Rattus norvegicus: one gene and its partner. The protein of the gene in region 1 interacts with the protein of each later gene in a pairwise test. Links are inferred from orthologs where the notes say so. Each region holds a gene or a part of one and is shown in the gene's direction. Other genes may lie near its edges.

Region 1 (7,226 bases):
GTGCCCGGGTGGGAGAGGCAAAGGTGTTACCCCAGAACCCTAACCAAGCATGCGCAAGGCTCTGGGTCCAGTCCCTAGCGCTCACTTTACAATCCCGCACCAGGGAGGTGGAGGCAGGAGGATGAGGAATTCAAAAGCATTCTTGGCTACATAGCAAGTTTGAGGCTAGCCTGGGTTAGAGAAGATGCTGTTTCAAAACAAACAAGCAAAAGGAGCAACAAAGCAAAACAAAACCAACCCAGCCCTCAGTGCAGACTAGAACACACACAGACATTAGAGGCATCATACCTGGGAGCAGAACCAGCATGCCTCCTACAGGGGCCCTGAATGTGCGTGGTCTCCCCAACTGACCCCTGTTGCCTTCTGTCCAGACAGCCTCTAGAGCATCATCCCCTCCTCATGGCCCCAGGCTAGAACTTTCTTGGAAGTAATAGCTAGGCACCTCAGATTGGTAGCCTCCAATCTGTCTAGGAGGCTGGGAGAGGTCAGGTGCCCTGGTCAGCAGCACAGAGGCAGGCAAAGAGCAGGGCCAACGGGAGCCTCCACCCCATGACTGCCCGTCTTTCAGCCGCAGCTGAGTCCTGGAGTCCCTCCAGCAGGAGTGAGCAGAGCTCATAGCGAATGGGTAGCGAGTTCGAATCTTCCCAGCTGTGTCCTAGGGTGCCCAGGCCCACTCTGAGAGCCATCCCAGGTTTTCACCGGCAGCCACATGAACCTAGGTTCCCCTCACCTGCCCCTGGGCCTTGTTTTAATATTTTTTTAAAAGCAAGAGCCCAGTGCCACACTGTCTCTTTGCAGAAGTGAATTCTCCATGGACCCTTGTTGCTCAACTTCCAAAGAAGCCACAAAATGCATTTAAGTACACCAAGAGACAGAAGTGAATTTACACAGAGGCATGCCCCAAGAGAGGTCACCCCAAGGTCACACAGCCCTGGAGGGTATGCTTGTAGGAAAGACTATGAGAGATGTGTTGTAGCTGTAGGGGACAGGCAACCGGGACAGAGTACTTACAAGGTTTTAGGTGCAGAAGTAGGGGCTGGACACAGGGGCAGGAGATGAATACAGCTCTTCCCTAGGCCACTCTTTAGGCTCTCTGTCACAGCAGACAATGTCCTAGGTATGCTGTCACTGTGGTCCCCCCCACACCCCCATATCCCCACACCCCCATACCCCCACACCACCACCCCCATTACCAGGGTCAAGCTACGGTGGGTCACAGGGTGCCACTGGAGTTAGCTGACCTGAGGCTTCATGTTTATGACAGGAGAGTCCTAGCTTAAGCAGTGTCGCCTCCTGTAAGAGCTAGAAGGTTTGGGGGAGCGGACTTGAGCATACTACCTCCAGCTGTCACAGAGGAGGAGGTCTAAGGGATACCCGCTGAGGTTCCCAGACTCGTGTGTCCTAAAACAAAGAACGGAACCAGGGACATATGGATAGTGATAGGAGTTTACTAAGGAAGAAAAAGGCATTTCTGAGAAGGGAGATAGGCTTTCTGGGACAGGACCGAGAGTCGAAAGCTGCAGGTCCCCAGTCCTCACCCTTCCGGCTCCTTCACATTGCAGTGTTCTCTTCAGCATTTGAAAATGGAGGCTCATCTTCTGTGGGTTCTGTCCCTTACATGGGGCCACAGTACACCTGTGAAGGTCAGAGGTCAACTCAGGAGTTGGTTCTCTCCTTCCAAAGAATCCAGCTCAGGTTATTAGGTTTGGCAGCAAGCGCCTTTACCCACTGAGCCCTTCAGCCAGCCCATCATATGTACATCGTAATACCTCTTCCTTCATGCCTTCCTGTCCTGTCACACTGACTGGGAGAATCACAACTAATATCACTGGAAAGAACAGGGATGGGGCCGGAGAAATGGCTCAGCGGTTAAGAGCATTGACTGCTCTTCCAAAGGACTGGGGTTCAATTCCTAGCACCCACATGACAACTCATAACTGTCTGTAATTCCAGTTCCGAGGAATCCAACACCCTCACACGAACGTGCATATACAATTGATTGATTGATTGATTGATTGATTGATTTTAGAAAGAAAGAACAGGAATTCCCTTTTTCTCAGACTGTTGGCTTCAGGTGTGGCTAGATCCAGGGGCTTGATGGTTCAAAGGAGCTACATGTCACATCAAGGCTACCCTGAACCCTGGCTCTCTTCTAGACCCTGGCTACATCAGCGATACCCAAGTGGGTCCAGGCTGCCAGCTTCGCCCAGAAAACTAAACTCCTGGAATGAATTCCTATTGACTGGCTGGGGTCACGTATCTCTGCTTAAACTAGTCATCATAGCACATAGGATACAAGGCTGTACACAGCCAAATGGAGGTCACTGTCCCTCCCTGGAATCTGGAGATGGAGTGGGATACCCAACTCACTGTAAACCTAGACAAAAGGAGAGGAGAGGGAATCCTAGGAACAGGGCCACAGGGTCACCCAGGGCCCTGACGTTTTCTATGCAGTGGTTTGTTCAGTGACAGGGGCCTCGGGTGTCTTCAAAACACAGGAAGTGTGGGTGTGCTGCACCGTCTTTGCGAGGCAGAATACAAACTTTGCTACTGCGACCGCAGAAACTTTCAGGTACCCTTGTGGGTTTAGCAGAGGCTGAAAACCTGTCTGTGGCCCTGCAGCCTCCTCAGGCTCCCTAATAGTTGTCTGAGCTAACAGCTCAGCTACTGCAATGGTTTTCCTGCCCCAGACACTCATTCCACCTGCCAGGCCACTTGGGGATTCCCAAGGTAAAGCCTGCCGCCCCACCCCCACGAACCGCTCCCCCTACTCCAGCCAAAAAAGTGGGTCCTCACTTTCCTGTCATTCCCACACCACAGTAAGATTGGAAGGGGACATAAAGGCTGAGCCAGAGGATGGCCCAGGCCCACCCCCATAGATTCAATCACACAGCTGGGCGAGCCCAGTGCCCACTAGAGATTCAAATCACTCTGGTGGGTCTGCACCCACGCCCTGCCCTAGGGTAGAAGCCATCTCAGCCCTGGCTCACATACCTCTGGGGTCACTCTTTGCACATTTAAACAGCTAAGTCATCTAGGGAGGGCTAAAGGGGGACCCTCTAAATCCCAATCCCTACAATGAGAACCCATTCTAGATAGACACCGTGGCCAGCACCCCACACTGGGTACTTCTCCTGCCTGCCACTGGGCCTCTGAGCCTGGAGCAGTCAATCCCTTCCTCCCTAAGGCCTCCTCTAGCCTCACCCCAGCATGTGTTATCTAGAAGGTTCTACTGTCTATCTAAATAGAAGAGAGGCATCTCCCACCATGAGCCCTGCCCAAAGCAGTTCCTACTTCAGCTGCTGTCCCCAGGGAGGGTAGGAATGAGCGTCAGTGTCCTTATGTGTGAACCCAAGGCACCCACCCTGCTGACTCTGCCTGTGGGTAACACAGGGGAAGGCATACAAGGCTCTGGGTGTGGCCAGTGCAAAAGGTGAGTGCCAGTCACCTGAGGGGACAGGGACTTGGCGGGATAGGTCACAAGAATGGCTCAGGAATGGGTTTACCAGGAGAGGGCTGACTTGTTCAGGGCCCATATCAGTGAACTGAAGCCACCCTTTTCCTCCTCTCGGGCAGAACCTGTTTGACAGCATCAAGAGTGAGCCCTTCTCCATCCCCGAAGATGATGGTAGTGACCTTACTCACACCTTCTTCAATCCTGACCGTGAAGGATGGCTACTCAAGCTGGGTGAGACCTCTATGCACATTCTCAAATGTGCTTACCTGCACACGTTTCACACACACACACACACACACACACACACACACACACACACACACACCCCTCAGGAGTGGACCTGCACAGCTCTGGGTCTCTTAACCCACAGCCTAGCAGTCTGCTTACACTTTCTATCCTTCCTCTCAACCACCCATGCACTCATCCATCCATCCACCCATCCATCCATCTACCCATCTACCCACCCACCCATCTACCCACTCACCCATCTATCCACCCACCCATCTACCTACCCACCAATTGTCTTATCCAACTGTCCCATTCACCTCTCCACCTAGCCTGTTTATCTATCCATCTGTTACAGTCATCTATCAATCTATCCACCCCTACCCACCATTGTTCTATCTATCCTCTCATCTATCTACCCACCCATTCCTCTACTCATTCATCCATCCACTCATTCTTCCATCCATCTACCCACCTATCTATCCACATTCCTTTATCCATCCTCCTGCTCATCATCCATTCATCCATCTACCTATCTTCTTATCCATATATTCACTCATGCACATATCCACTCGTGCACATATATATAAAAACACCTCCCCTTCTACCCATCCATCTGTCTTAGGGGTACAGGGGTACAGGGGTGACTGCTAGAGGACAGTAGGAGACAGAGGCTCCATGGATGTTTCTCTCCCAGAGGGTTGGAGAGAAGAGTCTAGCAGAGTAGCTCTGCTCAGGACTACTGACTGTAAGGTGCTGGTCCTTGAACAGCCGAACATTTGGGTGATCATTCTCCAGAAGCCAAGAGTCAGCAAGGTTAAAGGAACTTCTCAAGAGCACACAGACAGCAAGCATCCTACCTAGGGCAGCAGAGAGCTGGATGTCCCTGAAGCAGGAGGACAGAGAGAGGGGAGGGGGGAAGGGTGTAACTAAGACAGAGCCATGGTGAATGCAGCAATGGGTGCTCCAATGGTTGATAGAAACAACCAACCCTGCCTCCGGAAACACCCTCAGGAGCCAACCCAGCATGGCCAGCCAGGCAAGGACTGGGGTCTTCCAAGGCAGATGAAGAAAAATGGCTCATCTTGGAGGAATGCCTGGGCTGGGCAGTCTCCATCACTTACTGTGTACCTAGATCATGACAGACTTACCCATATCCCAGATGCCCACCAAGCCTTCTGTCTGTCACCCCAGCCTCTCTTCCCACAGTCCTCTGGGCCTCCTCTGCTGCCCGGCACTGGCTTCCAGCCTCCAGGTCACAAAGCCAGACAGCAGAGGGGGCGTCAGAACTCACTGCCCCCTCTTCAGCATCCCTTTCTGTAGTTGGACTGTGGAGGCAGTGACCCAAGAGAATGCTGGCCACATAGCAACATGGCTGAGAGCTTGGGCTCCAGGACAAGGACACTGGAGTTGAAAAGCACAGGGACTTGAATACATAGTCTAGTTTTTCCCAGCCTTGGTTTCCTCATCTATAAAATGGGATTGCCAGTGGCCATCCAGGGGTGTGGTGGGAATGGCCACAGGGATTCACATCTTCATCATCAAAGGCCTGATACATCAAAGGTAGAGTGCTGTGTTAGCTACTGGTCTCAGAGCTGCAACAAAAGCAACTGAGGAGGAAGAGCCCCTCCTGCAACAAGCTTGGGGAGGCGGGTCACCGTCAGGAAGCAGAGAGCAACGAAGGCTCAGTCTCTCCTTTTTCAGTCCCGGAGTCCAGCCCCTGCTTACTACCCACATTGAAAGGGGGGGTCTTCCCACCTCAGCAAACTCAGTCAGGAAACCCTCTCGTGAATGGACCTGTCCAGAGGCTTGTCCTGATGACTTTAGATCATACAGTCCACACTAAGCATTGCAAGCACGTAAAGCAAGCATGGGTCTGGGTGGGGGGTCAAGTAAAGGTCAGGTAACATTAGTTGGGAGAGCAGGGAACAGTGCCACTGTCCCTCTACCTAATTTCTGGGAACCCAAATCCAAGGAAACGGGGTGATGGGAGTTGCTGGGAGCTGCTAACACTTGAGGTATAGAAAGAATGGATCTGGAGGCTTGGAGAGCAATGCTCACAAGGCTCTGTGGCTGTCCTCTGGGGGGACTTGGTGACCCAGGAGGAGGAAGGCTGACCCTCCTCCCCTCTGCCTGTCTCGTGCAGGGGGCCGTGTGAAGACATGGAAGCGACGCTGGTTCATTCTCACGGACAACTGCCTCTACTACTTTGAGTTCACCACTGTGAGTGAGTGTGTGGGGAGGTGGGAATAGGACACAACCAGACATAACCAGACCCTGTCCGCAAGAGAGCCAGTGTCACTGCTGTAGAGTGTTAGGCCCTTTTAGAGGGTTCAGTGCCCCTATGTCCCATTCCACAGACGTAGAGAACTAAGAGGAGAAGGGGCTGGGCAGGGGAGAGGCCTGGCTTAAAGTTGGGTTTCCCAGGCTAGGGCTGTAGATCAGTGTTAAAGCGTGAGCCTAATTTGTGTGAGGCCCTGGCCAATTCCCAGCACCGAAAACAAACAAACAAACAAACAAATTGTTCAAGGCAAATGGAGTTGCTAAAGGCCAGGCATGGGAGCTCCTAACATGGTCAAGGCCAACCTGGGCTACAGAACAAGATCCTTCTTTCAAAAAAACATTGTAAAAGAGGTAGGGGGCTAGAGAGATGACTCAGCAGTTAACACTGGCTGCTCTTCCAGGGGATCTGGGTTCAATTCCCAGCACCCACATGGTGGCTCACAGCTGTCTGTAACTCCTTCCAGTCCTGAAGTGAAATCGGACACCGTCTTCTGGCCTTTGTGAGCACTACCAACCCAACGTGTGGCCCACTTACATGCATTCAGGCAAAACACCCATACACATAGAATAAAAAATGAAAAAGACATTTTTAATTGGGTCTTCCAGATCCCAACCAAGGCGCTAGTGTTGAACGCTCTCTGGCTAGGCAGTATGCAAAGATGGCCTGAGGAGGTCCCAAGATTATTTCCTGCCCCTTACTTTGCTTCCGTAGGACAAAGAGCCTCGGGGGATCATCCCCCTGGAGAACCTCTCTGTGCAGAAGGTGGATGACCCCAAGAAGCCGGTAAGGGTTCAGTTGGGGGTTCCCTGCATGGCTGAGGGAAGGGGCCTTCGTGGGACCCTCCATGAGGCCCAACCACTCCTCCTGTAGGGTCTCCTGAAGCTTTGGACAGTGTCATTGAAAGAACAAGCCTCAGTTGTCTTGTGGAGCTTGACTCTGGCACTAACTAGGGAACTTCTAAATCCCAGCTATTTTCTGAGCCAGGATACAGACGCACTCATGCACCCACACACGCACACACTCATGCATGCACGCATGCCCCAGATCTGTTACATGGCATTTAGGAAACCTGGTACATAGTAGGTGCTCAGTTTCCTCTCCCCGAGGGCTGTTTGGGAAGGGCATTCTGTGGGAATGCTGCTCTTCCCTCCTCCTTGACCCCCCCCAAGACTGTCCTAGCCTGTCCCCTGAATTTCACCCTAAATGGCACCTCACATAGTTCTGCCTGGAGCTGTACAACCCCAGCTGCCGGGGCCAGAA
Region 2 (7,932 bases), on another chromosome or scaffold:
CTATGTACGTAGTGAATGTTGGCCAGCTTTGAGGCCCTGTTTTAAAATATGAAAATCTGTGTGCTTATGCGTGTTTGTGCTTCTGCATGTGTGGGTGTACATGTGCATGTGTACACATGCATGTGTGAGTGCATGCGTGTGAGCATGCATGTATGCATGTGTGTGTGTGTGTGTGTGTGTGTGTGTGTGTGTGTGTGTGTGTGTGTGTGTATGGTCTATTAATACAAGACCACAACCTATCCTTCCTGCCTAACTGTATCTTTCTACTTGCCCACCATCTTTCTGGCTCCTGGTAATCCGGTTTCTACTCTCTTCTTCCAAGAGTTCCACACTGATCTTTCAAATGTAAGTGAGATCACATGCTATGTATTTTTTTGGTGTCTGACTTATTTTACCTAGCATGATGTCCTTTAGGTTCCGCCATACTATTGCAAATAACAGATTTTTTAAAAGACTGAAAATACTATTTTGCTGTCTGTGTACACCATATTTTAAAAATCGATTTGTGTGTTGATGGATGCGGGTGTTTCTAGCTACTGTGATGAACACTGCTGTAAATACCTGTGCCAACACACTTGGCACAATTTCTTCTTCCTGCTTGCTATCAGGTTTTGTAGTGGTGGGATCAAGCTGAGGGCCTTGTGCACATCAGGAGTCACTGTGCCACTGAGCCATACCCCCGGTCTGCCTGTTTTTAAGGTGTGACGTTCATACTAATGAATGGGGGCCATGAACAAGTTGAGATGTAAGAGTGTCTTATAGGTCGGGGAGGAGACAGGAGGATCTGATTAGATGGCTTGGATCCCATATGATGATCTGACCTTTGCAGTCCTGGTCTTACCTGAAGGGGAGATGTTTTAGGCCCCACTCTGCATTGCAGTCACTTCCTCTGAATTCTGTCTCGAAATCCTCACTGTGCCCCTGGCTATTCCATTCTTAGATCTGTCAAGCCACTTAATATTCTATTGACTTACTTATCTATCTTTCCCAGAGGCTGGCTCCATGTGAAGGTAAGGATAGGTACACCCCATTCGCTACAGGAAGTGCCAGCCTCTACCCTAGTCCTAGTCCTTCTATAGTTCTTTGCTAGGCAAACACAAGAAGGTACAAGACAATGGTCTGTCCTTTTAAAATTGTATTGTTATATATATGTGTGTGTGTGTGTGTGTGTGTGTGTGTGTGTGTGTGTGTGTGTTTTGTCTGCATATATGTATGTGCAATGTATGTGTGCCTGATGCCCAGGGATGCCAGATGAGGGCATTGGAGTCCCTGGAACTGGACTCACAGGCTGTGGGGTAGCCATGTGGCCAAGGGACTTGAACCTGGGTCCTCTGGAAAAGCAGCCAGTGCTCTAACCACTAAGTCATCTCTCCAGTCTCTGGCTTGTCCTTTTCAGAGGACAGATGTATTAGATGTCCAACTCTCTGGCCATAATGATGCCAAGAAGGAAAAAAAGACAAGCTATTTGGAGGAGAAGGCTCACCCAAAGACCTTTTTTTTTTTTTTTTCGTTTTTAATTGCCAAAGTAAGTGATGTACGAGATAAATCCTGGATATAAAATCTTGACACATCTTTGAGGTGTTGGCCAGAGCTGCTTCAAACCTGAAAAGGAAATAAAATCAAATCACTGTGGTTTTTCTCCAAGAGCCCCTGAGATGTGGTTATGAGTGGAAGGCAAGGCCAGACAGAACCAGGAATTCAAAGGTTGACCTACTTTGTCGAAACTAATAAGAGGGAAGAGGTCTGCATAATCTTTCTGTCTCTTCCTTTCATAGTAAAGAACAGTGAAAGCACATGACAGACTAGAATTCACAGAGAACTGAAGGCCAATGAAATCGCTTCAGGATTGACCGGCTATACGAAGCCTGTGTTTCTACATCATGTTGTCCTCTTTCCCTTCCCCCTCTTTCGAGTGAGAAAAAAAAGCGCCTAAATTCACACCAACATAAACTAATGACATACAATGATGAAATTCTGTTTTCACCTCTGCCTGTGACAGGGAATGCAAAAATAGCAAGTGGCCTATTTCCACGAATCCCCGCCTCCCTGCCCTCCCCGCTCCTGCTGGGTTTGGATCTCTAAGAATGGAGGCTAGCGCATAGGCAGGAGCCAGCCGGGATCGGCCCCCCAACCCGAGGGTGATGTCAGTCGGCGGAGCGGCCGCAGCCTGGCCAGGGAGGCCACGGCTCTTGGGGAGCAGGGAGGGCGGGTGGCCTGGATGGGCGGACCGTGAGCCCGGCCGCGCGGCGTCGCCTGGAGACGGCCCTGGCGGCGCTGTGTTGCTGTAAACAGCCGCTTCGCTGTTACTATCTATAGCAAAATCGCCTAGCTCCCGGGTGCGGCGGCCCAGGGCAGGTTTGTGGTTCTGCACCTCTTGGGCCCCTGAAGATCCATCCGCTGCCCCAATCCTCTCTAGTCCGTCTCGGAATGCCCACCAGTTAGTTTGACCCTTGGGATCCACAGAATGGAGAAGAGGGGACACATGAGTTCTGCGAGGATCTGCGGTTTCCTTTCCCAGAGGTGACCAGCGCTCTGGGGCCGAGCCCAGTCAGTCTAACCCGGCTTGTCCTCTGCTGAAGGACAGGAGACTGAGGGCAAGTAGGGGTGTGTTTGTTCTACACCGAAGCACCCGGCATCTCCAAAGTTCCATCTTCCAAGACTCAAAGCTGTGCTCAAAGCAGACGCCAACATCTCTGCACAGCTGGGAACCGTGCTTCCAGTCCGTCCTCCCCTCCTCCCCCATCCCCCCCTCCCCAAGTCCGAACTGGAAAATCACCCGCTGCGGGTTCCTTGTAAGCGCAGTTTCCAGGCTGCACGGATTCAGGTCCCCACCTCCCCTGTGCACCGAATTGCCTTCTTCCCGGGAGCTCACCTCACTTGTAATTCTGAGCAGACCCCTGCCTTCACTCGCCCTCTGGCCTCCGCTCAAAACTGAGCAAACGACCCCTTCAGGCATCCTTGCAGGGTGGTTTTGCACAATGTTTATCCGTCAGTGTCTCCCGGGACAGTCACCCTGATTGTTCTAAGTGGCCAAGGGTCGGGGAGTGGGTGCTGTCGTCCTTTAAAACACGAATGTATGAATGAACTCAGTATTGTAGGTAAAGCGGGTTATTGAATACTTACTTAGAATCCTTCACTTACTGCTTCCAACCTCAGGCCTAATGTTGCACTGATTTGGGACGGAGAGAGGTCTGATGTGGGCTAGCTTTCCTTTGGGAACAGAGACTTGGAGCCTTTAGGGCTGCGTGCCTGCTTCTCCTAATACCAGAGACTTTTTTAAAAAGCTCCAGATTGCTGGACAATGGAAAGGAGATGACCCCCAGTCTCATCCCCTGACCCTGGGAACAGAGTACACATTGAATCAGGTGCGAATGTTCGCTCGCCTTCTCTGCCTTTCCCGCCTCCCCTCCCCCGGCCGCGGCCCCCGCTCCCCCCTTGCGCTGCACCCTCAGAGTTGGCTGCAGCCGGCGAGCTGTTCCCGTCAATCCCTCCCTCCTTTACACAGGATGTCCATATTAGGACATCTGCGTCAGCAGGTTTCCACGGCCGGTCCCTGTTGTCCTGGGGGGAACCATCCCCGAAATCCTACATGCGGAGGGTCCAGGAGACCTTCTAAGATCCCAATTGTGAACACTCATAGGTGAAAGTTACAGACTGAGACGGGGGTTGAGAGCCTGGGGCGTAGAGTTGATGACAGGGAGCCCGCAGAGGGCATTCGGGAGCGCTTTCCCCCCTCCAGTTTCTCTGTTCCGCTCATGACGTAGTAAGCCATTCAAGCGCTTCTATAAAGCGGCCAGCTGAGGCGCCTACTACTCCAACCGCGATTGCAGCTAGCAACTGAGAAGACTGGATAGAGCCGGCGGAGCCGCGAACGAGCAGTGACCGCGCTCCCACCCAGCTCTGCTCTGCAGCTCCCACCAGTGTCTACCCCTGGACCCCTCGCCGAGCTTTGCCCAAACCACGACCATGATGTTCTCGGGTTTCAACGCGGACTACGAGGCGTCATCCTCCCGCTGCAGTAGCGCCTCCCCGGCCGGGGACAGCCTTTCCTACTACCATTCCCCAGCCGACTCCTTCTCCAGCATGGGCTCCCCTGTCAACACACAGGTGAGTTTGGCTTTGTGCAGTCGCCAGGTCCGCGCTGGGGGTCGCCGAGGAGGGCACATTGGGGTGTGACTGTCAGGGAAGAGTAGGGGTCTTCCTTGTTTGCTCCGGAGGGAGACTGGCGCGGTCAGAGCAGCCCTAGCCTGGGAACCCAGGACTTGTCTGAGCGCGTGCACACTTGTCATACTAAGACTTAGTGACCCCCCTCCCGCGCGGCAGGTTTACTCTGAGTGTCCTGCGCTCTTCTCTCGGTGACTTGTTTCTGAGATCAGCCGGGGCCAACAAGTCTCTAGCAAAGACTCGCTAACTAGAGCCTGGGAGGCGGCAAACGGCGGCAATCCCCCCTCCCGGGGCAGCCTGGAGCAGGGAGAAGGGAGGAGGGAGGAGGGTGCTGCGAGCCGGTGTGTAAGGCAGTTTCATTGATAAAAAGCGAGTTCATTCTGGAGACTCCGGAGCAGCGCCTGCGTCAGCGCAGACGTCAGGGATATTTATAACAAACCCCCTTTCGAGCGAGTGATGCTGAAGGGATAACGGGAACGCAGCAGTAGGATGGAGGAGAAAGGCTGAGCTGCGGAATTCAGGGGAGGATAGAGGATATTGGGAGACCTTTTTATCTCGGATGAAGTGCATACAGGAAGACACAAGCAGTCTCTGACCAGAATGCTTCTCTCTCCCTGCTTCATGCGACACTAGGGCCACTTGCTCCACCTGTGTCTGGAACCTCCTCGCTCACCTCCGCTTTCCTCTTTTTGTTTTGTTTCAGGACTTTTGCGCAGATCTGTCCGTCTCTAGTGCCAACTTTATCCCCACGGTGACAGCCATCTCCACCAGCCCAGACCTGCAGTGGCTGGTGCAGCCCACTCTGGTCTCCTCCGTGGCCCCATCGCAGACCAGAGCGCCCCATCCTTACGGACTCCCCACCCCGTCGACCGGGGCTTACGCCAGAGCGGGAGTGGTGAAGACCATGTCAGGCGGCAGAGCGCAGAGCATCGGCAGAAGGGGCAAAGTAGAGCAGGTGAGTAGCGATTCTGGACCTGCGCGGGGAGTTGGGGGGGGGCGGGGGGGACGGACGCACAGGCGACACGGCAGAGTGGGTGAAACCCTACGCTACTGACTGCACTTCCTGACCAGGGACCGTGGCTGCAGCCCTTTCCCACCCTCGTCAGACACTGACAGTTGGCCCCAAGAAATACTCTAGTTTCCCTGACAGCTTCCAACCACATTCTCTAGCTTGGGAGCTTCTTTGTTCCCCTCCTAAAGATCTCACTTTAAATGCAAATCACACTCAGCCTGCCAACTGCAGGTTAGAAAAACTGCTTCACCGTGAGAGGTGCGGGTGCTGTAGGAGCCAGTTTCACTGGGGTGACTGAACAGAGGTGACACTAGACCACCTTATTGAATGTTGGTCCTTTTCTTATAGCTATCTCCTGAAGAGGAAGAGAAACGGAGAATCCGAAGGGAAAGGAATAAGATGGCTGCAGCCAAGTGCCGGAATCGGAGGAGGGAGCTGACAGATACGCTCCAAGCGGTAGGTTGAACCAGCTGCTGCTCCTGAAACTTTATTAAAGTTGGAGGTTGGGACTATGGGGTCAGGGTCCTTGAGGAAACCTGTGTCTTATGCTTTCTTACATCTCTGTGCAGGAGACAGATCAACTTGAAGACGAGAAGTCTGCGTTGCAGACCGAGATTGCCAATCTACTGAAAGAGAAGGAAAAACTGGAGTTTATTTTGGCAGCCCACCGACCTGCCTGCAAGATCCCCAATGACCTGGGCTTCCCAGAGGAGATGTCTGTGACCTCCCTGGACTTGACTGGGGGTCTGCCTGAGGCTACCACCCCAGAGTCTGAGGAGGCCTTCACCCTGCCTCTTCTCAATGACCCTGAGCCCAAGCCATCCTTGGAGCCGGTCAAGAACATTAGCAACATGGAGCTGAAGGCTGAACCCTTTGATGACTTCTTGTTTCCGGCATCATCTAGGCCCAGTGGCTCGGAGACTGCCCGCTCTGTGCCAGATGTGGACCTGTCTGGTTCCTTCTATGCAGCAGACTGGGAGCCTCTGCACAGCAGTTCCCTGGGGATGGGGCCCATGGTCACAGAGCTGGAGCCCCTGTGCACTCCCGTTGTCACCTGCACTCCCAGCTGCACTACCTATACGTCTTCCTTTGTCTTCACCTACCCCGAGGCTGACTCCTTCCCTAGCTGCGCAGCTGCCCACCGAAAGGGCAGCAGCAGCAACGAGCCCTCCTCTGACTCACTGAGCTCGCCCACACTGCTAGCCCTGTGAGCAGTCAGAGAAGGCAGGGCAGCCGGCACTGACTGAGCTGGTGCATTACAGAGAGAAGAAACAAGTCTTCCCTCGAGGGGTTCCCGTAGACCTAGGGAGGACCTTATCTGTGCGTGAAACACACCAGGCTGTGGACCTCAAGGACTTGAAAGCATCCACATCTGGACTCCAGTCCTCACCTCTTCCGGAGATGTAGCAAAAAAACAAAAAAACAAAACAAAAAAAAAACAAAACAAAAAATCAAAAGCAACCGCATGGAGTGTATTGTTTGTAGTGACACCTGAGAGCTGGTAGTTAGTAGCATGTGAGCCAGGCCTGGGTCTGTGTCTCTTTTCTCTTTCTCCTTAGTCTTCTCATAGCATTAACTAATCTGTTGGGTTCATTATTGGAATTAACCTGGTGCTGGATATTTTTCGGATTGTATCTAGTGCAGCTGATTTTAACAATACCTACTGTGTTCCTGGCAATAGTGTGTTCCAATTTAGAAATGACCAATATTAAACTAAGAAAAGATAGAACTTTATTTTCCGGTAGATAGAAATAAATCGCTATATCCACGTACTGTAGCTCTTCAGCGTCCATGTTCATTGTCATGTAACTGATCATGCATTGTTGAGGTGGTCTGAATGTTCTGACATTAACAGTTTTCCATGAAAACGTTTTATTGTGTTTTCAATTTATTTATTAAGATGGATTCTCAGATATTTATATTTTTATTTTATTTTTTTCTATCCTGAGGTCTTTCGACATGTGGAAAGTGAATTTGAATGAAAAAATTTTAAGCATTGTTTGCTTATTGTTCCAAGACATTGTCAATAAAAGCATTTAAGTTGAATGCGACCACCTCGTTGCTCTTTTATTCTGAGAGTTTTGGAAGTTTCGGGAAGGCCTTGGAGAGAGACCAGTTTGTCAAGATGGGTGGGTCCTGGAGGGGGACACGCCCTCTGTTCCCTTATCACTCAGAGGAAACGCTAGTTCAGGGTATTTTACAGATATGTGTGTTCATATTGCATTGCTAAGATTTTCTACCTGCCTGCCCTGGGGGCTGAGAGTTGCCTGTAACAGCTTGTGCAAGGCTGACGTGCCTTCCTGCTTCTCTGGAGGGAGCATCCTTAAATGTATTTGCCTATCTTCGCCTTAGTGATTTTCCTGGGAAAGGGATCCTTTGAACAGAGCCTAGCTCTATGCAAACTTTTCTCCTTTATTATTATTATTATTATTATTATTATTATTATTGTTGTTGTTGTTGTTGTTATTATTATTATTATTATTATTATTATTATTTTGGTATTGTTGGAGATAGGATCTTGCTAGGTGGTCCAGGGTAGCCTCCCAACTCCCAGCAGTCCTCTTGCCTCAACCCTGACAGTGGTGGTTATTACAGACAACCAGCAAGTTTAGCATCTTATTCCCATGAAATCAAGGGAAGAGTTACTTTTATCTTAAAAGTGAGTGAACTGAAGAATAGTTGAAATAAGCCACCTTCCTTCCACACTGCAAACCCAATTGCCGCTTCCCCCTCCTGTCCATTAGGCTGAACTGCCT

What was found.
Region 2: the proteins of Cyth4 (region 1) and Fos interact in a two-hybrid assay, tested with the Homo sapiens proteins (2 studies listed by BioGRID and IntAct). The two-hybrid records come from large-scale screens. The link is inferred for Rattus norvegicus from reciprocal best matches to the Homo sapiens genes CYTH4 and FOS.

The regions. Positions count from the first base shown.
Region 1 is NC_086025.1:112,047,741-112,054,966, forward strand, and holds part of Cyth4 (cytohesin-4), read left to right. Parts: intron 1-3,576; coding exon 3,577-3,688; intron 3,689-5,828; coding exon 5,829-5,905; intron 5,906-6,677; coding exon 6,678-6,749; intron 6,750-7,185; coding exon 7,186-7,226. UniProt on the Homo sapiens protein: Promotes guanine-nucleotide exchange on ARF1 and ARF5. Promotes the activation of ARF factors through replacement of GDP with GTP.
Region 2 is NC_086024.1:110,848,374-110,856,305, forward strand, and holds Fos (protein c-Fos), read left to right. Parts: upstream 1-3,814; 5' UTR 3,815-3,966; coding exon 3,967-4,107; intron 4,108-4,867; coding exon 4,868-5,119; intron 5,120-5,524; coding exon 5,525-5,632; intron 5,633-5,745; coding exon 5,746-6,387; 3' UTR 6,388-6,681; downstream 6,682-7,932. UniProt on the Homo sapiens protein: Nuclear phosphoprotein which forms a tight but non-covalently linked complex with the JUN/AP-1 transcription factor. In the heterodimer, FOS and JUN/AP-1 basic regions each seems to interact with symmetrical DNA half sites.